Linked DNA regions of Lepisosteus oculatus. The protein of the gene in region 1 purifies or fractionates together with the protein of each later gene. This does not show direct contact. Links are inferred from orthologs where the notes say so. Each region holds a gene or a part of one and is shown on either strand. Other genes may lie near its edges.

The links. Proteins that work in one complex are often made in the same cells at the same time.
Region 2: the proteins of pfdn4 (region 1) and pfdn5 purify together in Homo sapiens (affinity purification with mass spectrometry; 5 studies listed by BioGRID and IntAct, counting the BioPlex papers as one, with this or other methods). This does not show direct contact. The link is inferred for Lepisosteus oculatus from reciprocal best matches to the Homo sapiens genes PFDN4 and PFDN5.

The regions. Positions count from the first base shown.
Region 1 is NC_090711.1:11,175,310-11,186,439, reverse strand, and holds pfdn4 (prefoldin subunit 4), read left to right. Parts: upstream 1-5,460; 5' UTR 5,461-5,537; coding exon 5,538-5,564; intron 5,565-6,224; coding exon 6,225-6,332; intron 6,333-6,528; coding exon 6,529-6,669; intron 6,670-8,583; coding exon 8,584-8,715; 3' UTR 8,716-8,995; downstream 8,996-11,130. UniProt on the Homo sapiens protein: Binds specifically to cytosolic chaperonin (c-CPN) and transfers target proteins to it. Binds to nascent polypeptide chain and promotes folding in an environment in which there are many competing pathways for nonnative proteins.
Region 2 is NC_090696.1:20,600,806-20,611,635, reverse strand, and holds the start of pfdn5 (prefoldin subunit 5), read left to right. Parts: upstream 1-6,160; 5' UTR 6,161-6,205; coding exon 6,206-6,271; intron 6,272-10,830. Other genes in the region: espl1 (separin), read left to right, coding at 61-213, 550-723, 1,068-1,172, 1,894-2,009, 2,892-2,975, 3,462-3,626, 4,374-4,575. UniProt on the Homo sapiens protein: Binds specifically to cytosolic chaperonin (c-CPN) and transfers target proteins to it. Binds to nascent polypeptide chain and promotes folding in an environment in which there are many competing pathways for nonnative proteins.

The sequences.
Region 1 (11,130 bases):
TTGTAATATGTACAGTATATACAGTAGTATTGTTATGAAAATGTTAGCTACCAAAATTGGAGTTTATTGTCCAAACATGAAAAAAGAGTAGTTAAGAGGCAAGATTGCACCCATCATTTAGTAGTCCCTATTTATCTGGAATAAATAATCACATCAGATCAGCTTGGGAGGTGCAAATCAGAAGCAGTTTGCTTGTTCACGATATCAGCCAAGATTCAACAAAATGATGGAAATGAGGACGATCTGGTGGTGTCTCGGCCTAACAAGATCTGACCACGTCCTCAATGACGATGTCCACCGACGCATGGGAGTGGCACCGATAACGGAGAAGATGCGAGAAGGAAGACTGCGATGGTGTGGACATGTGATGAGAAGTGGGGAGCACACGGTGGCACGGACTGCGATGCGACTGAGCCCGCGAGGTCGGCCCAAGAAGGGGTGGGTGGATCGGATCACTGAAGACATGCGGGAAGTGAACGTCGCCTCGGGGCACACTATGACCGCGCCAAATGGAGACGGGCGTGCCGACAAGCGGACCCTGCCGATGTGGGATTAATGCTAGGATGAAGAAGGTGCAGCAGTTTCCAAGACGGAGGCAAACTGAGTTATTAGAAGAAAATGGCAGGTGGCCATCCTGTTTCTTGCAGAATTATGAGTGTGTCAGAATGATGCAAAATTGATTTTAACTACAATGCTACTTACTAAGATTTTGATAGATTTAGATTATTTTGTTGTGCTAGAGTGAAGATGGCTGGTTATCTTTTAACCCTAGGTCCCTACCTTGTTACCACAAAGGAGGTGCTGTCCAGGTTGTCTATAGTTCTGAATCGAATGCATAAAATGCCAGAATTCTTCCATGATTATCTTTGTCTAGGCATGGAGTTCAAACTTAGTGGCTGCTTTGTACTTGTTGCAGAATCCTTGTGGTGATACTGTTCATTGTTTACAGGAGTGAGTCTTGATTTAGAGACAGCTACTGTAAGTGAAACATATTCTAGGATGTATTGATATGTGATCATGTGTAATCAAGAACTTCACCATTAAAAATAAGGTATTCAAGAGTTTGTGTGGTAGTAAAAGCACTATACTGCAGGAAGAGGTATACTTGCATAAAGTGATCTTCCCCCTCACAGCACCCCGCAGAGTTTCCCAATAGTCTTTACTTTGGACAATTGCCTGGATAGAGGAAATATTTCATCCTGTGTCATTCACCTGAGCTGAGGCTTCAGTTCAACTCAAGAGACACGTGATGAAGGGAGCTCCAATTAAAAATCTAATCTTGCTATCTAACAAAAATTGAAAACTTGCAAACATTTGGAACCTTTCAATTTCATTTCAAAGTTTCATTTGGCTAAGGGCATGCAACAAAAGTGCAACAACATGTAATTTATATTAAATGACAACTTTCTGTCTGAGAGCTTTATACTTTCGAAGTCTGAGGGCTGTGGGTGGAGGAGTCAGGGTTAAGGTAGACTTTGGAGCACATCTGTAATTTCTGCAGTCAGAGATTCATTAAAAGAGCTGCATAAAATGTTTTTGTTATCATTATTACTTGAGTTAAAGAAGAAGAACCTTCACTTATTTTTAAGTGGTTTTAAAAGTTTTAATGTTCATATAGAGAACGATACTTATGCAAAACACCTCTTTTAAACAATACCTTAAGAAAAAGAATAGACACTGCAGAAGACATTTTATTACTATATATTTAAAAATATATATTTTCAATTAAACCTGAGTGACGCATGTGTGTTGTATCCCTTTTCTAAGAATTCTAGAAAATGATTTGCCCTCATTCATGAATTCAACAAATTTGTATCCTCTTTTATTTGCACGGTAGCAATCTAAACAGTATATTCAAGGTTAATCTATTATGTCAACATGAAGACTGATAGCCTTGTGCCAGATCAGTTCAAAATGTATTTTTTTCTCTTTTTTGGTTATTATTTAATAGATGTTCATTCAGGACATTCAAATGGCAATGAGTTCTTCAGTTCTTTTACGCCACTGGCAGCTTATGTCAATGATTATAAGATAAGACCATTATCACTCTAAGATCCAAAAGTCATGTAAAATTGATTTTCTTCTGATATGGGTTACACATTAACTCTCATGTGATTTAACTAAAATAATGATGTGCCTGGTAAAATAGATCCAGCCTGGATTTAAGGACCCACAATCTGAATTTGTTAGTATATACCTGTATATATTTAATTGCTGCCAATGTAGGCGTACTCATCAGAAAACAGGAAATAGCTGTGCAGTGTTATAGAAGATGTGGATAAGCAGTGGCAGACCAGTTTATCTGTGTATATATATGAGCACTGTAGCCAAATCTTAGTATTTATTATCATTATTACTTTACTTAACAAGATCCATCCATTCATTTTCTAACTGCTTCATGCGATTCGGGGGGGGGCAAGGGAACTGAAGCCTATCCCAGCAAGCAATGGGCACAAAGCAGGGTACTCCATGGAAGGGGTGCCAGTCTATCCCAAGGCACAGACAGACACAACCAAATACCCTACCAAACTGGAGCACCTGGAGGAAACCAACACTAATGCAGAGAGAACATAGAAACTCCATGTTGACAGCATCCCAGGAATTGAACCCCAGCACTCTGAGGCAGCAACGCCAATCACTGCATCACCTACTGATTCTACAAATTCTAATTTACATAGACAACTAACTGGCTAGGCAGGGTACACTACTGTGATGGTAAAAAGAACAATAAAAGACAGCAAAAGAAGAAAAAGATGACATTCCTTTTGCTGTCATATTGTTTATTGGGATAGTGCCTTCATCCACCTTTAAGAACATAGAGAATATATTTAAGACTTTACTTTGCCTAAACACACCCTACAATAGTTTCAGGTGTTAAAACAGGTATGAACTGCTTACTTATGGGACTACCGCTAAAACATAATTACTATGAAAATGATAGCGTCTTAATTTAAGAGATCCTTTTGCATTGTTTTGCACTACCTATTCATGCACAAATAATAGATGCATCTGAATTTGTTTTGGGCACAGACAGCATAAAGGAAAAATAACATTCTTGGGCACTGCCTAGAGAACTATATTATTCATAGGTGTGGTCCATCCAGTCCACACTTGTGAAAATGGTTTAGCTCTGGTATGACTCATGATTCCTGAGGACAAAAGCTGAAACGTGTCAGGCCAGTTCTTGCTGTGGGACAGAAAGTTTCTCACAAGGTATGTATGACTCTGGTACATCACTACATCACTAAAGCAGCAGGAAATCTGGAAAAAGTGTCAATTCAGACAGCCTCAGGGGTTGACATTACTGACATGTCAACCCAAATTATCCCATTGGGTCACATTATGGGGGGTCCACCCCTACCCACATCTCATGCAAAGCTACATAAGGCTCTGCTATGAGTTTTTTGCAGATGATGTACAGTATAAAGTAAACTTGCATCACGGCAAATACGTGGACAGACAAATATTTGAATAGAAGGTCAAATTTGTAGAAAGACCAGAAAATATGTGGAACTCCTGTTCACCGTGTACAGACAAGAGCCCCACATTAAGTCATCATTTGCAAAAGTAACATTTTACTTTTTTCAATTTAGGTCAATTTTTTAATTTGGTCAATTTAGTCATTTGTTTTCATGTTCAAGCACATGCAGTATATAGACATGATACGTTTTTACACATTTTAGTGAAGTTGGTTAACATTAGCAGTAATGTAATAATAATCAGAGATCATATTAGTAAAGACTATCTGATTATTATTAACTGATCAATTATTAATGATCAGTGAAAAGCCCTTCAAGATAACATCAGAAGTTACACTCATATCCTCACCTATCAATTGCACCACTGAATGAGGACAAGCAATTGCTTTGCCCATCATGTTCAGGAAGTACTTGAGCTCAGTGTGAACTGAGTTCAAATTCATTCAATTCCTCTTGAGCAGAATCATCCATTACATTACAACAGTTTGTGCAACCTGAGGTTTCTATGACAGCAATAGTTAGGTCTTCAGGTCAATAACACATTTAGGATCAGTAGCTGTGCCATTTAAAAAATTCCTTCAGGCACAGGTGTTTCGTTAATCATTCATTCTACATTCTCTGAAAGTTAATCATTTTTGTACATTCCTCAACTTAAACTTTAAACTAAAAAAGAAAAAAAAACTCGATATTGCTCTTAAATTTATTATAATTATAAAACCAGAAAAAATATTATATTAATCCTGCCTGTTTCAGCATTTCTTTTTGTTTCCTCTAATGTTTAAAACCCATCAAACACAGAAAGGACATTTTTTAAATTAATCAGCTGTGATAAACGGCGTTCATAAAGGCTGAAGATTCATAAACATGAAGTGTTCAGATACATAACATGCAGTGCAAGAGTTTGACTAATATATTTCATGTGAATACATATTTCTTTTAGTCTGTCAATGAAGAACATTCCTTTTCTCTTCTTTGTCTTTGAGCACATTTTGGTCACAAGGTGACAAACTGACAGTATTGTAAATGCCATCTTAATTCTGCAACTTCAAATTGTAATATCCATTGATTTAGAAGTGATGCCTTTTTGCTTACATTTTATTTGCTTTTTTCATTGTTTTCCTACATTCCTATACTGTCTGTCTCGAAGATGAAAATGCTGTCAGGATGAACTGGTAAGGTTTTCTAAGGTCGCCTGTTCAAGCTCAGCATTTCCCATTTTATAGTTAGTTTATAGTAATAGTTTTTATGTTTATGTTTTTGCTACCTGCATGAAACTCTCGGCACATATCTAAATAAGATATAATCTGTTAGCTGTTTTCGCTAGTCTTTCCTCTAAATCTTTATGAATTTAGTTCGCAGACTGCGTGCTCGTCACTTCTGTATCATATGCGTGTGCGACTAGTTTGCTAACTGTAACAGAATATAGATCATAAATATAAATCACAAAGAACAGCGGCTGTGTCCTATAAAAAACCGTATCCTATTAAACACTGTTCCATTATTGACATTTCTTATTCGCGTTAATTAGTATTGCTAGTAACGACAGCAAGAGTTAAGCATGCAACATGACGTTATAACTACCAAGTATTAGTTGGAAAAGAAATTAAGATAAAATACAAAATCCTTGACTAATATAGCATTCAATATTCGGAATGGAGGGAGAAACAATTATATGTTAAAAATCCCTTTTATGACTGTTTTAAAAAGTAATTATTCCAGTATTAAGAAGATAATTAAATGATTTTGTGACACGTCTGCCACCTGCAGGACATTAGAAGTATTACCGTAAAACTCCTTTTTATCGGCCAAACTTTTAAACTTCCATGCGTTCTTTGAGTGCGTCCCTTTAAACGGAACCTACCACTTGTTTAAATAAATTATATACATCCAGAAACCGATATGTGAGCTACACATAAAATCATTGTGCATTGTACTTAATTGTATTAATATTTTAAAGTAAAAAATGAGAACCCGCACGTCAATGAAAACGCTGTAAATCAAAACAAATACTCCAGAAGGTATAATTCTCCACGTGAATGAATAGATTCGTCCATAAAAATGGCAGCGACCATGAAGAAGTCTGTTGTAAGTAATTCTTAACAGGTTTTAGATTTTATTAATCTTTTTGTCGGTCTTGCTGGGTAGGCATGTATTATGTGTAATCTGGAAATTAAAGCTGGTAAAGCAGTTCTATTAGCGTGTGCACTAATTAAGTCCATCTTCGTTATAGACTGTTATGGGTGTGGTGGTTAATATCGGTGAGCTTTTGATCTGTTGTTGGTTTCAGACAGTAATATATAGTTATATATTGCATTCCATAAAGCTCTTTAGTAATTTATTATTAAGAATACAATCCTAAACGCCGTTAGTAAACGACAGCTGCATTTCACATAAGCAAGAGACGAAAATGGGTGGTATTAAGTAAAAATAATACGCAAACGCTTTAAATGGAATGAATGAGGTTTAAATTTCTGAAGTTGCAAGTACAATCTCTATATCGTTGGATAATTATCTTTGAAACTATTCTTATTATTAACAAAAATAATTTGAGCACGCAGTATGTGACCATTGGATTTTTGTAAATGACTACAGCTGAGGACCAGGTCTGAGAGTCAGTACCCGGGGATTTTTCAAGAAATTACCGAATGAGATACTCTGATCAGTACAGGGTAGCTACTACAAGCACCAACGAGCTAAGTGGGCCCACTTGCTTTCTTTTCTTTACATTTTTTCATATCTTTATAGGCAGTAGAAGACGTGAACGTCACCTTTGAAGACCAACAGAAGATTAACAAATTTGCTAGAAACACAAACCGGATGACTGAACTCAAAGAAGAAATAGAAGCAAAGAAGGTATATTTATAATTGGCAAGTGCACATTAGCGCATTTAATTGAAGGCTATTAAAACTATCTGAGCTTGGAAGAAAACTATTCTAAAATACCAGTAGCAATCACAAACAACAACAACAACAAAAAAAGGTTTGCCTTGTTGTTGGGCAGATCTCCTCAGTTATGTATTCCATGATGACGTTTGCCTCTCTTCTTCAGAAATCTCTTCAGAACTTGGAGGACGCCAGTGATGACATCATGATGTTTGATGATGACACCTTACTAATTCCGTATCAGATTGGTGATGTCTTCATTAGCCACACCCAGGAGGAAACACAGGATATGTTAGATACTGGGAAGGTAGGCCTAGCTTTGTGAAGTTCATTCTAATCCATGGTTAGTAAACAGCTGTAAGAGTCTTACTGCTCTAGGGTCCTGGGTTGGTTTCTGGACTGAGGTGAATTCTCTGTTCTTGCTCTGTTTGATGGATGGATGGATGGAGTAAAAAGCAAACTGTTGTCTCATATAATTTTACAGATTCCATAAGTTACATTACTGAAAGCACATTTTATTGCTTATCTTCTGCAGAGGGTGTGTTTTGTAGAGCAGCGTGGCGGTTTTTATCTTTCCTGTAACAGTCTTCTTTCTGAAGAGCTCAATAACACTGATCGCTTTGTTCCTTTTTAACGAGTTCTCACTTCTGAGTAAGTCTTACCCTGTGATCAGTTAACAGTCAGCTGGAAAAAGCTGTCGTAATGCTCATCAATATAGTATGTTTGATCTGCTCTCTTAAAACATGACCCTTCAGAATCAGTTCTCAACTTTATTTGTACTGAAATGCTATGAAAAGAAACCTAAAACAGCTGTAGACTCACCTAATTATCTTAATAGATGCAAAAAAATGGAATGTGAAAATTTGAATTGTTTCACAGCAGTAAATGAAGTTATTAAGGAAAAATAACACATAATTTTTAATTTAACATATAGTAAATAAACACAAAGGTGATATTTTCAGAGTTTCCTGCAAGGAATGTGTGAGATTTTCTGCTGAAATCTTGCAGGTGCATACTATTTGCATTGATGGTTTCTTTTAATTTTTGTACAAAAACACATTGGTTAATTAATGAAGTTGTGAGTCTCTATAGCAGTTTCTAAATTTTATGTTACTTTGTTTTTTTTAATCAACTTTGACTTGATGTAAATACTTGAGGTCTGAGAATTGTGAGATTCTGTACCATTGCAGCTACTGGCAGATAAATGATCTTGCGGTGTATCATTATGAAACAGTATCTCAGTATGGATTCTTGTGTATATTATGTCTGCATTTTTTGGCCAGACGGTCCGTCTGGTCTGTATACAATAATAGAGAATAGTATTACTCCAGAAATTATGTCGAGCCAAGATCCCAGATTCCTCTTTGCTTATTTAACCATGTTTCAGTGTACAGTTTCAAGCTTACTTGTAACTTTTATGTGACTATGAAATATACCTTATCAGAAGTTTTCAGCTGTCCATTGATATTTTGTACCATCAATTGACACCCTATTCATATCAATTTCTACCTCCTATACTTAAGCTGTTGAAGCTTTCCAAGTTTGGGGATAGCTGAACTGACATCAAGATTGTTAAAATTAATGCATATTCATACTGGTATGAATGATCATTTACTTTAATAGAAGAAAACTATTTAGTAGTGTGGTTTCCTACACTTACTTTAACAGAATAAGAAACCATAAAATATAAATTATTTTCCTTTGCCACTCTCAAAATATAAGTTTGAAAATTAAACTCTGATGTACTCTAACCTGAGGAAAGCTGGAAATGTGAAAGTAGTTTTCCCACAAACAACTCCGACAAGACAACTCTGACTTAGAAATAAATGTAGATTACTTTTGTATATTGTATAAATTACCTATTGTTGTTATATACTGTTGTACCTGTGAGGAACTCTGTGTGTGTTGGCTGTGAAGGACCAGGTTAATTTCACGATGGAAAAACTAGAAAAGAGAAACCAAACATTTTGGCTGAAGAGTCAGGTATTTGTAGATACTTTATATACTTTGTACTGTGTACTATATACTATAAAGTATATACAGTATTTTTGTATGTTGATTCAGTATGAAGTGCAAAATTAAGGATTATTTATTTCCACAAAGAAAATCAAGTATTTTCTGTAAAGGGTGTGTTTTCTTGCTCCACAAGTCTTTAACTGGAATGGTAGATGGGCTCTGCTTGTTTACTTAGTAACAATGGTGTTCATATTTTCATCCTTAGGAACTGCTTAAAGAAGAAATCAAAGCATTGGAGGGCCGGGTAGCATCAATTCAGCAAATACTGTCTGATCTCAAAGTTCAACTCTACGCCAAGTTTGGAAATAACATAAACCTGGAAGCTGACGACAGCTGAAGCCCCTGTTCTGTGCTTGAGAGAGATGAACTTTTCATGCAGATAACACATCAAAATCCCCAGAATTCCTATGACACAGAGAGTTTATAGAACTTTTTTTTAATGGTCCTCTTCAAAATGCATACGTAGATGTTTTCTTTTTTCTAGAAAATAACATTTGCTTATTTATTGTTTTTGCATGAAAACAGGAGAAATCACAGAGTGGTAGAGCTTACAGCATTCGTTGACAGTGTATTTGTTTGCAAAACACACAATCTCAATAAAAGCCAATGTATAGTGATGTGTTTTTTGGATTTTAGCATATTTTCACTGTCTCTGCTTTCATCGTGGCCATCAAATAGAATAATAAAAGCCCAGGTTCAAAGAAAGTTTACCATAAAAGACCAGTTAAATTCCATAAAGTCCGTAATCTTAGTAGAAAAACCCTTTGTAGCGTTTTCAGTAGCTGAGAATCTGAATTGAAACTACAAAGGAACTGTATTTCATTCAAATTATGATGATTATGGTGTTTTCAAAAACTTGGTAAAATACTAAATAAAGTAACATTAACATTAAATTCAAAGAAAAAAGAATTGCAGGATGAACTATTGGAGAGACAAGCCTTACATGTATTTTGTTGGAAAATTTTACACAGAGGTAAAAAGGGTAATGTGAGAAGGCAGGAAAGGTATAAACAATGACGGTCTAAGGTAAATTGTAATGTTTTTCTAAGGGCTATATTTACAATCTTATTCTATGAATACATTTTTGTGAGACAACATTTCTGAGAGAGCAGTAACAAAAGTGTGAATTTTTCAGCGTTGGGCGAATGGTACTGTAAATGTAATTGAGGTTTTGTGAGTCATTAATCTTAATGGATTTAGCTCTTTCGTATGTTTAACATGCCTGCACATAAAACCCACAAGTAAAATAACAAATGGATTGAAAACCCATGTAAAACCAGCCCCCCTTTGACAAGGATAATTCCAGCAGCTGTGCAATATACTTGGTGAACCATGGTAATACAAATATTTGTATACACTTTCCTTTGTTTAACAGTCATAGATGCATCAATGCTTCATGTAGGAGATTTAAGGCAAAAGTTTCAGTGTTGCCTTCAAAGTGGATTTGTCTTCTTTTTTCAGAAGAAGTAGACCTGTTGGGTCAGACCCATAGGGAAAGTGACCTTGTGTTCTAATTAGCTGCAAAGTGGTGATCACTTTTCTCCTACATTTTGATAGTCCTTCTAGCTGAGTATGTGTAATTTCTGGATGTGGCAGCAACTGACAAAAGTCCCGTATTGCAAAATGTACCAAATGGATCAACTGGTTTGTAACCTTTCTGTCAACAGTACTGTCACTGGCATAGCAAACTCTTGATGCAATAACGGCAGTAATTTCCATAAACATTTAAAATTTAAGTATAATCCCATGCTTCAGTTTAAACAGGAAATCATTTAGTAACGTATATTAATGGGTACACTGCATAAAATATACAAATGAGGGGAAGGTAGCCATTTCAACATTTCTTTGACAACAAGGCTGGGCAACGTCTGCAATACTTTGTGCACAAAAGGGCCCCTGTTCTCGGTTTTAAACGCACTTTCCCATATTTTCTTTTTATCCTCTGGTTTGTGTTTCAGTACCGGTTCTGTGGTTCTTCTGGGTTGATGCTGTCAGGGACTGTGAATGAGGGCCACTCATAATTTTCTCTGGTCAAGACTAAAAACGATTCAGTTTAGAATATTCCTTTGAGCCCAGGAATGTACCTGGACTAATTGAAGACCCAGTTTAGCCAAGACCATTGCCACTGACAGCCGTATGATATTGCTGAATGATATTCATCATTTAATAGTGATAGATTGCTATTTAGTTTTTAAGGTTGGAGAAAGGGCTCTCTATGCTCTTAGACCTTTTCTTAGCTGGACACTGTATTGTTTATTTTGCTAATCTTTCAGTAAAACAGAGTTTCATTTACAAAGTTGTCAGACATCACTATAGTACAATCTTGTGCTTACTCATAAAGGAACTTTCTGAAGCTTAGTACTTTTTCCTGGGCAAGATAAACATAAGTTCCAATATTTTAAAAAATCATAAAAAAGGCATTCCCTGTACAGAATAAAAGTAGCTGAAGTCAAGCTGGTGAAAGAAAGGCTAGAAAATTCAGATATTAGAAAAGGCTCAGCAGGCAGAAATATGATTATTAGTGTTTTATTGGCTCTGCCTGGGCTTGCAGACTGTAGATTCACAGTGGGATATGTGCAGCATTTGTTTGGTAAAAAAATAATCTCATAGCAACACTTTGAAATAGTAATATATGGTGAATAATAACAAAGTAGATGTGGGGGAGTGCTGCATTCAGTATATATTCTACATATGAGTGCAATACTGAGTTATATTATTAGACTTTTCTGTTTGCTATCCCACATCAGTGGCA
Region 2 (10,830 bases), on another chromosome or scaffold:
GTTTGGTTTTGATTGCTGTCCCCCCGCCCTCTCTTCCCTGTCTCTCATCTCTAACTCCAGGCGCTGTTAGAAAGTATGGAGGAGCAGGTGCTGAGCTGCTGGAGGGGCCTGCTGCTGCCCCATTGTCAGGACCCCGAGGTGGCCAAGCAGGCTGCCTGTCTGCATCAAGCGCTCTCTGAGTGTGGAGCCCAGAGCAGCGAAGACTTGCTGAAGGTCAGGGGTCAATGAGCATCCACTTTTTCCACAGTCTAGTTCATATTCCCAAGAGCTTGGTGTCTTCCGGTTCCAGTACAGCACTACTGTTACTTAATCGAGCCCTTGTGCTTTTATGATCTAATCCTTGACAACTTTTCCATGCATTTTAGAGAATTATTGAAGATTAGAAATTAGAAAAATGTTTGCATGGAGAAACGTTCAGGGTTTGTTTTTTGTTCTGGAGAGCTCAGCTCTGTCTGATACCCCTGGTCCAAGTCCATCACCAGCTTTGCTAGATCTCTGAATCGAATGCTGAGTGCTCTGGTTACTCCCTGCTTTCCCCTTGTGCTGCAGGCTGTGCTGACCGCCGCTCCTCTCCTCTCCCCCTCGGACCTGCGCTTGCTGGCTGGGGGGTTGTGTCCGACGCAGCCCGATGAAGCACAGCACCTCCTGCAGTCTGCCGTCACTGTGCTGAAAGACCGACAGGAGAGCCAGCCAAAGGGACATGTCGTCCTTATCCTGGACAAGGTACTGGCACCCTGGGAATACTGCTATAGATTGGAAGAGTTCTGGATCTTGTACCGAAAGCCTTTTGTCTGCAGAGGTCTGTGACCACACACCTGTTTCTCTTTCTGATCTTGTTTTGACTTCTGTTCTTGTTGTATAAACCCCAGTGTTGGGGACTCAAGCTGCTGATCACTCCATTGCATGGAGTTCTACTTTGGCATTTTGGACATGTATTGCTATAAATGTGGGGACAGAATCTAAAGATGATATACACATGCCATTGCAATGTAGACATCCCGAATAAAATGCGAGTCTGTGGGAAGACAATGTGTGCCCTCATCTTTGCTGTGTGCTGGTATGTGCAGCACCTGCAGAAGCTCCCCTGGGAGAGTGTGCCCTGTCTGAGAGCCCGCGCTGTCACCCGGCTGCCCTCTCTGCACTTCCTGCTGGGACACTGCGCCCTGAGAGAGGTGAGTGTTCCACACACACACACGCCTTGAGAGAGGTGAGCGATCCGCACGCACACACACGCCCAGCATCCTGAGAGAGGTGAGCGACACACACACACACACACACACACACACACACACACACACACACACACACACACACACACCCTTGGAGAGGTGAGGGCCTCTCTGGCAAAATCATTCAGAAGGAAAAACTTCCAAAGGGCCAGAATGAGTTACATCATTTCTTTTTTATGAAATATGGTCATAAAGAAGCAAGCATGTTGCCACTGCTCTGTCAGAGAAAACCCTTGTACTTTAAGTGGGAAGGATAATGAACAAGAAGCCCATGAGATTCTTGCAGGTCAAGTTCTTTTTCATTACAGACCAAAGCAGTTTGTCAAATTGTGTATTTTGCTGTAGTTTAGTCTTTAAAATACTTGTGTGTCTCTCGCAGATAAAAGTAAGTGCCTGTGGAATATAAACTGCTGATGAAAGAATGATCGTCTTTCTACACTAGGAATGTTGGCTTTGCGTTATCCAAATGTCTTGTGCAGTACTATTAATCAGTGTTGGATTTGCAGAGACTGATACGAGAACTTCTGGGTGCTGCATCTTTGGAGTGTTTTTTCTGCACTCACTAGCTCGCAGAGTCAGGGGAACTTTGCAGGTGGTGGCACTAGGCTTTTTTTAGCGGCCTGCTGTAGCGGCCCACACTCACTGCTTCTCTCTCCCTGCCCAGCTGGACCCACGCTCGGTTCTGAACCAGGGTGTGGACCCACGGCGCACGTTCTACGTGTTGAACCCACAGGCCAACCTGCTGGGCACCGAGGAGCGCTTCCGGGACTGGTTCACCAGGTGAGAGCCTGCCGCAGGCGCGCACACCCGCGGGCTCCAGCGCCAGCAGGCTCTGCCCATGTGACCCTGTTGGCGTGCGACCTGTTATGAATGCACAGGTCCCACTTGAGCAATTTTAGTGGCCTGCTCAATGGAGCAGGCCCATACTATACTGTGGGAAGGCCTATTAGGGCTTAATGTGTGCAGTTTTCTAGCATTTATTTAGGCTGACATTTTTCTAAAATGACTTGGAGCTGGGAGGGTGGCACAGTGTAGCTGTGGTTAGGATTGCTGCTCCATTACATTCCGGACTCCTTGTGCTATCTTCATGGAGTTTGCATGTCCCTCCCCCTGTTTGTGTGGGTTTGCTCCAGGTGCTCCAGTTTCCTCTCAGTCCAGAGACATCCTGGGAGGTTAATTGGCTTCTGGGAAAATTGGCCCGGGTGCGAGTGTGTCTGTATGCCCTGCGATGGACTGGGGTCCTGTTCAGGGTGTACTCTGCCTTGCGCCCACTGCTTTGTGGAATATGCTCTGGCTTCCCTGCGATCCTCAGTTGAAGGCAGTGGTTAGAAAATGGATGGCTGGACTTGGAGCTGGACTCCTCAGGGCGTCTTACTGGAGCAACATGTGATTCAGCTCCCTTAAAAGTATGACTGCACGACATCAGCATTCGAACCCGCCACCTTCCAGCTAAGATTAGAGCCCTGACCACTGGGCTGGATCCGATCTGTGACAGCAAGTGTAAAAACAAAAACAGCTTGTGCAAAGACAAGAAAAGGGAGATGGTGCACAGAATTGTTTAATTAGCTCTCGTTTTTTCTCACCTTGCTTTTCTCTTCTCTCCACCGGTGTGCCTCTTGCCCCGTCCCCCCTCCTGACTGGTGGCCTGGACCTTCTCTGCAGTGAGGAGGGCTGGCAGGGTGTGTGTGGCCGAGCCCCGACCCCCGAGCAGGTGCAAGAGGCCCTCTCCACCCAGGACCTCTATGTGTGAGTATCACTGGTGTGGCAGTCTGCACCCTTCTGCATTTCTGTGTGTGCTAGCAGCCAGTTCCCGAGTCTCCGTCTGTCTCTGCCTCCCCATTCTCTCTCTCTCTGTGGTGCTCTGGTATCTTCATGGAGTTTGCATGTCCTGCCCATGTTTGTATGAGTTTCCTCCATGTGCTCCAGTTTCCTCTCTCAGTCCAAAGACATGCTGGTTCTGCCGGGGCCAGTTTTCCCAGATGCCACCGAACCGGTGGCATCTGGGAAAACTGGCCCCGGTGTGAGTGTCAGGGCAGTGTACCTGCTGATCTCAGTGGCCTGGAGTTCTGTAGGTTTTAGTCCTACGTCTCAGTTAGCAGCTGAGTAAGATTTTAAGAAACAGGTTGTTTGAACCATCCAAATGATCTCTGATAGCTTAGTGGAGGCAGCAGTTCCTGCTCCACTGGGTGTGCTTCTGTGGGCTCTTTCTAACCACCTGCCTCTCCTCCGCAGTTACGCGGGACATGGGGCCGGGGCACGGTTCCTGGACGGCTCGGCGGTCCTGCGGCAGGATTTCCACGCTGTGTCCCTCCTCTTCGGCTGCAGCAGTGCTGCGCTGGCGGTCCGAGGCGAACTGGAAGGCACAGGCATCGTTCTCAACTACCTCATGGCTGGCTGGTGAGAGAGCACCGTGCTTCCGTGCTGCTGCTGTACTTAAATACTAGCAGTGGCCTGCTATTGTTGTGAACACATGGGCACGTGGGACTTGATTTCTATTCATGTCATGTCAAGAGTGGGGCAACTTAAGGGGGGCACGGCAACGCAGTGGTCAGTATCGCTGGGTCACTGAGCTCGGGCCTTGTGTTCAATTATGGACCTGGGCTGCTATCTGTGTAGAGTTGCTGTGCTACCTGTGTTTGCATGGGTTCCTCCAGGTGCTCCGGTTTACTCCCACATTCAAAGACATGCTGGTAGGTTAACTGGCTCCTGGGAAATGTGTCCTTGGTATGTGTGCGTATCCTGTGATGGACTAGTGTCCCATCCAGGGTTTATCCTGCTGTGCACCTGTTGCTTGGATTGGATTAGGCTGTTAAAAAATGGATGAATCGTATGTTAAGGAGTGGTGCTGGTTAACAGGTGGCAGCCCCTGGCATTTTTCAGCAAGATGCCACATTGGCCCATGGTAACCTTGTGTGTTTGTGATGCTGTTATAGCTTATAAGTTTGTATACCTGCTATTGCAGCATGTTGATATGGAAAGGTACCGCCACCTGTCATTTCACAGCACCTTGCTCTCAGCATTGCTCTTCTAGTCTGTCGCTGTCCAGTGGAATCTTCCCTGGTAACTTGCATCCATCAGTATCTGTACATCTCCATCCCCATCATTTAAATGTTAGTTATGAGCAATTCTTGCCATCTCTCCCAGCCCGCTGGTCCTTGGCAACCTGTGGGATGTGACGGACCGGGACATCGACCGCTTCATGAAGACCCTCCTGCAGCTGTGGCTGGGGGCCGGTCGCGGGGCGCCCCTCCTGGATCACATGACCGCATCCCGCCAGGCGCCGCGGCTGAAACACCTCATCGGCGCTGCCCCGGTGGTGTACGGTCTCCCCGTGTCTCTGCGCTGACTGCCTTTCTTGTAACTCCCCACATTCCAGCATTGTGCATCCGCTTGATCTCTCCAGGTTTTATCTGGAGCTGGGGGTGGGGTCCTTGAGTGCAATAACCGCAGCTGCATTTTGAAATTTATTATCTCCACGTCTGTCTAAGCATGTTCTGAAAATGGGTTGGAAACTGCCATTAATTATTCATTTGCTTTTATGAGATAATATAGCTTGTTAAACTTGCAGCGGAACTAATTGGCTGTGCAGTGGGATTTATATTTGTTTCCCTGTATTTAGAAATGCCAGACTATGCAGGAGCTGGGATAAACTCCCAGGGTTTTACAACGGTCTCCAAGTGAAGGAAAGTGTTGTCGACAAGACAAAGTTATGGATCTCTCACTATCCTGAGACTGTTCATGCAAACCCATTGGCCTTTATTCAAGCAAGCCAAAAAGAGCCAAATCCAGTGCATTTATTTATATTTACAAGTGTGTGCTCGGATATCCCCTGACATTTAGGCCAGTATATGTTTATGGTTTTTGCTTTTATTTTTTAACTACCATTTTGTGTATATGTATTTTAAGGTTGTGAACAATGTATGCATTCCTTTTTAAAGTATGTAATAAAGAAAATATTTGCAATGGTTTGGTCTCCTTTTGAAAAAGTTCTGTTAAGTGTATAGTTTTACTAAACTGCCATACAGAAGTTTAAACTGGTCTCCATCTTTATGCCTTGGTTGGCCCCACCCCTGTCCTATAGTGCTGTTATCCTGGAGGTCTAACAGGTCACTCTTAAATCAATGCAGGAGCATGTGTATTTTTTTATTTTTACAGTTGCAGTCTGTTGATTTTCTTTTAACTGATCTCTATTAGGGCAGTGTGGTGGTGGGGTTTTTAGCAGTGTTGCCTCACAGCGCTGGGGCCCCGAGTTCAATTCCTGGGGAGCAGTCTGTGTGGAGTTTGCATGGTCTCCCCAGGTTCACACAGGTTTCCTCCCAGAGTCCAAAGACATGCTGGCAGGTGAATTGGCTTCTGGGAAAACTGACCCTGGTGTGAGTGCATGTGACTACCCTGCAGTGGACTGGAGTCCCAACCAGGGTGTGTCCCACCATGCACCTGTGCCTTGCCAGGATAGGCTCTGGCTCCCCTGTGACTGTGAATTGGATGAAGTGATTAGAAAATTGATGGTTTTACTATCTCCAGCTTTATTTGTGACCTAAATCAACACTGATGTTTGTGGAAGCCTTATCTCAATGCCTTATACAGGATAATTGCAATGAGCCAACTTCACATGCTGGCAGCACTTGCAGAAAAATAGAAAATTGTAGTCAGGTTTGTCCACATTGTTCTGGGACCAAACTGACAAGCTCCTTTACACAAAGGGCTATGGAAATGTGGGACAAGCTACGCATTCATGTCGTTGCAACTGAAACCTTGGCTTTTTTTTTCAAGAAACAACTGGATGAGATGCGCAAATCGCTAGCATGCAAACCGGCTCCGCCGAATGAACTGGCCTCTAGTTTGTAGCCTTCCTGAGGTTTCACATTTATTACCGAGACGAGACAGACAAAGCGCACCGCCTGTTACTAAGCAACATCAAGTTCCTGTCTCTGCCGGAAGTCGGCGCGGCCGCTGGGATTGCTTTTGCTTCTAATATGGCGGTGAATCTTGCAGAGCTGACATTACCTCAGCTGGAGGGTCTGAAGGGCCAGTTGGAGCAGGTGAGGACCGATTTAGGCTAGATTTAGAGTGGGAGATGAAGAGACATCTCACGTTTGAACAGTACCCTCCAAAATGCGCAAGACGAATTAAAGGCGTAGCCAGCCCGTGAGCTAATCTGGGTTATAGACAGCACGGGGCTGGCGTGCTCTCTTAGCTGGGTGTGTTGAGCGTGTGTTTAATAGAAAATAAATGAGTACTACCACCGTGAAGCTTTCGCTTTACAAACAGCAGCAGACTTTAAAATTATTTTCTTTCATAACATATCCGGAATAACGTAATTAAATAAGTGATCGTTCTCTATAAATACCCTCACATTGAAAACCGGTAGAGTGGCGTGGCTGTTTCCAAATCTTTTCTTTTAAATCGTATTAAGAGGTGTGCAATTCGCGGACGATTCGTTCTGATTCGTTTATTTGATTCACGAAGTCATTCAATTTAGAGAGACAAATCGAGCATCGAGCCAACTAAGGAAATGATGTCTCTCGGATTTTAGTGAGTATGGGAGGAACATCGAAACTCGGGTGAACATAAAGCAACAGTGAACATAAAGCAATAGCACATTGTGAAACATAAAATTACCCTCTTATTAATGAAGTGTATGAGGTTTGTGATAGTGCGCGAAGAATATACTTTGCTGCATATTTCAGATGGTTACATTAATTCGATTTTTTAAAAAAATTCAGCCTATAATAATAACATTAGATGTACATACTAGGAGATACATAATTATACCAGTTTTATTTATTTTTTTGTTAATGTATATTTTAAAGTAATCCGAAATCAACAGTGACTCAAATAAGACTTTCAATTCAATTTTGGCTTAAAAATGTGATTATTAGATGAATTGCCCCTACCAGTATGTCTTTTCTTTAATGCAAGACAAAGTACACTGTTTGAATTGCTGGATACAGTGTCACATAAGTTTTCCATTTGTCTTTTCAACATCCTTCCTTCCCACTCAAGGATCATTGAAGCAGCCAATATTGACTGTTGTAGAATTTTTTTTTTGAAAATTGGGAGTTTTATGGAATATTTCAAATAGCCTTATTTGGGAGGTGGGTAAGCCATCCTTTTGCGGAACAGTTCAGGTCCAGACATAGAGCTCAGAGAACAAAAAACTTGAAATTGCATGCTGGGTGCAAAACGGTAAGCATTAAGTGGTTATAAGCTTATCAATGGAGCTGTAGATGGTTGATAGGAAGTTTTAAAATATCTAAATGATTAAATCGTATTTGTTGGTAATTCGGTCTTTTCTGAGAATTGTAAAGTGAAAAGGCAGCCCTTCAAAACAATCTAAAGTAAAACTCCCAGGACCACACGTTCTTCCTTGCTGAGCCCTCTCTTGTATTGTCCACTCAGAGTAAGTGCACTCAGAGGTCTCGCAGGTGATTTGAGCACTGATGAGTCTGACTTTCAGAAAGGTACTGTTTGTCTTATACTTGTGTGATTGGGGCAGAGCGGTGGCTCTGCGGCTAAGGATCTGTGCCTGTGGCTGGAAGGTTGCCGGTTCAAATCCCGCGGCTGGCAGAGGAATCCTACTCCGTTGGGCCCCTGAGAAAGGCCCTTAACCCCAGGTGCTCCAGGGGTGCTGTATAAATGGCTGGCCCTGTGCTCTGACCCCAAGCTTCTCTCCCTGTCTGTGTGTCTCACAGAGAGAAAGCTTGGATAAGCAAAAAGACCAATTCCCAATACAAGAAATTGTATATGGCTAATAAAGTGATCTTATCTTATCTGAATACTACCTTTTTGAGGTGTCTACCAGACATTATTTCTCTCTTGTTCTTTGATGGGCTTTTCGGTCTGAGGTGAAAGGTTCCACTTTTGTGTAGCTTCTGTTTTTGGAGAATTTTTGTCTTTGTGTTTTTTTTTACAAGACGGTTCTACAGCGCTCGGATGCGATCTCTTGAGCCTTTTTTTTTTCCATTTGAACTGCACTGACGACTGGCTCTTGGTGATGTTTGCGACTCATGTTGTCTTGCTGTTTCATGCCGCAGAGCTCGCTGGATCGTTCTGAAACCTGCCGTGCTGGGTAACGGTTTTGTGGTCGTTTCGGACGATGAGCACGACGGCCGCGACCCGCAAGCGAAGCTCCATTTGGAGCCATTTCACTTCGGTCACGTGCAGCACGGCCAAGTGCGACATATGTCACAGCGAGCTGTCTTACAAAGGAGGGTCAACTACAAACCTGCTCCGCCACCTCAAAACAAAGCACCCCCTGGTGCAGCCGGGCGCAAACAGATCCCAGCTGAGGGAGGAAGCTGGAGCTTCGGCGCTTGCAGGGAGCAGCACCCGGAGCAGGGAAGACGAGCATCGGGCTTTGGTCCCCACCAGGAGCAGTGCAAGCCTGGAGCAAAGCAGCGCCAGCAGCTCTGCCGTGTCGCCCGCGAGGCAGGACCGTCTGAACGAAGCCCTTGCGAAAATGATAGTGATGGATTATCAGCCATTTTCAGTTGTCCAAGACAAGGGCTTCAGAGCTTTTATTAATCAGCTCAATCCCTCTTACGTGCTGCCAAACAGAAAAGCTCTGACCAGGACGATCATTCCCCAGCTGTATGAAAGAACCCTTTCTGAAGTGCAGGAGAAGGTAAAGGGAGCATCAGCTGTGTGTTTAACCACAGACTGCTGGACATCGGTTACACACAATGGGCACAGCTACCTTTCAGTCACCAGCCATTTCATAAACCCCGACTTCCAGATGTCTTCATGCCTTCTTGACTGCTTTGGATTCGCCGACGGGCACACAGCTGCCAACCTGAAAGATGAGCTCCTTCGGATTGCTGCGGACTGGAATATACAAGACAAGGTTGTGGCAGTTGTCAGTGATGATGATGCTGCTAATATGACCGAAGCGATAAGGCTCACTGGGTGGAATCACTTGCCTTGCTTTGCCCACACCATAGATCTTGTGGTGAGAGAAGCACTGCAAGAAATCAGACCCACTGTAGATAAGGTTAAAGTAATAGTGGAATATGTACGCAGAAGTCCTGCAGCAGCTGAAAAACTTAGGTCTCTACAGAAGCAACTGGGCATGGAGGAGCTGAAACTGAAGCAGGAGGTTGCCAGACGATGGAATTCCACTTACCGCATGCTGACTAGGTTTCACAGGGCCAGAGATGCCGTTGTTTCGATGCTGGCACTGGTCGACGCCGCCCTGCCCACTCTGACTCCGGAAGAATGGGACACCGTGGCCGAGTCGTGCGGGATTCTGAAACCTTTCGACGAAGCGGTGGCTGAAATCAGTGCGGAAAAGACGGTGTCGGCTTCGAAAGTCATCATCTTGGCCAGGGGCCTGCAGAGGATTGCCGCCACGCGGCCGAGGAACGCGGGTCTTCCCGGCCCGGTGGCGCGGATGCTCAACGCCCTCCAGGCGGCGATGTCCCGCAGGTTCGACGACATCGAGCGGCAGCCGCAGCTGGCCGAGGCGTCCCTGCTGGACCCCCGGTTTAAAAGGCGGGCGTTCACAGACGAGCGAGCGGCGGAGGAGGCCGTGAGCAGCGTCGCGGCGGCCGCGGGGAAGGTGCACGTCGCCGCCGCCGCCGCGGCTGCCCCCGCCGCTGTGGAGGCGCCAGGAGAGAGCGACCGCGAGGCGCCGGCCGCCACGCGTTCGGCGCTGTTCTGGCGCGATTTCGACGACTGCGTGTCGCACCTCCTTTCGGCACAGACCCCGTCATCGGAGGCCGCGCTGGAGGTCAAGAGCTTTCTGGAGGAGCCTCTGCTTGCCCGGACGGCAGAGCCTTTGCAGTGGTGGGCCAGCCGCCGGCCGGTGTATCAGAGGCTCTCCCGGGTCACGGCCGCGAAGCTGTGCGTCGTGACCGCGTGCGCGCCCTGCAGGCGCAGCTGGTCCAAGACCGGGCAGGTGGCCGCAGAGAGGAGGAATCACTTTAGCCCTTCCAAAGTGCGTGAAATCGTGTTCTTGAATGCCAACCTGGACTGAGGGTACTGCCCGTGACGTGTGACTCTGCCACTGTACAGACAGACAGGCCGTTGCAGGAGGTAACTCAAGTGGGATGTTGCTGTTTCGTTGGTTTTCCACCATCACTCCCTTGTTCTCGTCTTGCCTTGCCTTTGAGATGTTCGTAAATAAAAATCAACATTTTCTGTGACGCTGTTGTTATATTACCCAGTCTACTTCCATGAGAGGTCTGTTATAACTCAGTATAATAAAATTTTATTTTTACTTATGTTTTGATGCTTTTTACCTTGCAGTAGACAATTGTGTGTGGGGCGATGAAGTCAAAGCACTTGTCAAACTATGAGGGATATTTTCTCTTGGATTTTCACAATCGTCTGATCTTGTTTCTCTTCCTGTGTTCCCTTTAGCCTAGTAAATGAGTGAGCCTTATAAAGTAGTTATTTTTCTGGTATTCGGTGGCACTGTTCTTTTCAATGACTTGGGGAATCAGAGGAGCGAATCTTTTGAAGAGGTTCACTGAACTGAATCCAATGAATCGATCTGCTTAAAAGGAATCGCACTGCCCGGGTACTAATCATATTCATGTTAATCTTTCCCTTTTCAGAACCTATGCGAAGCATTTTAAAACAGTTTTAAAAGTGCAGC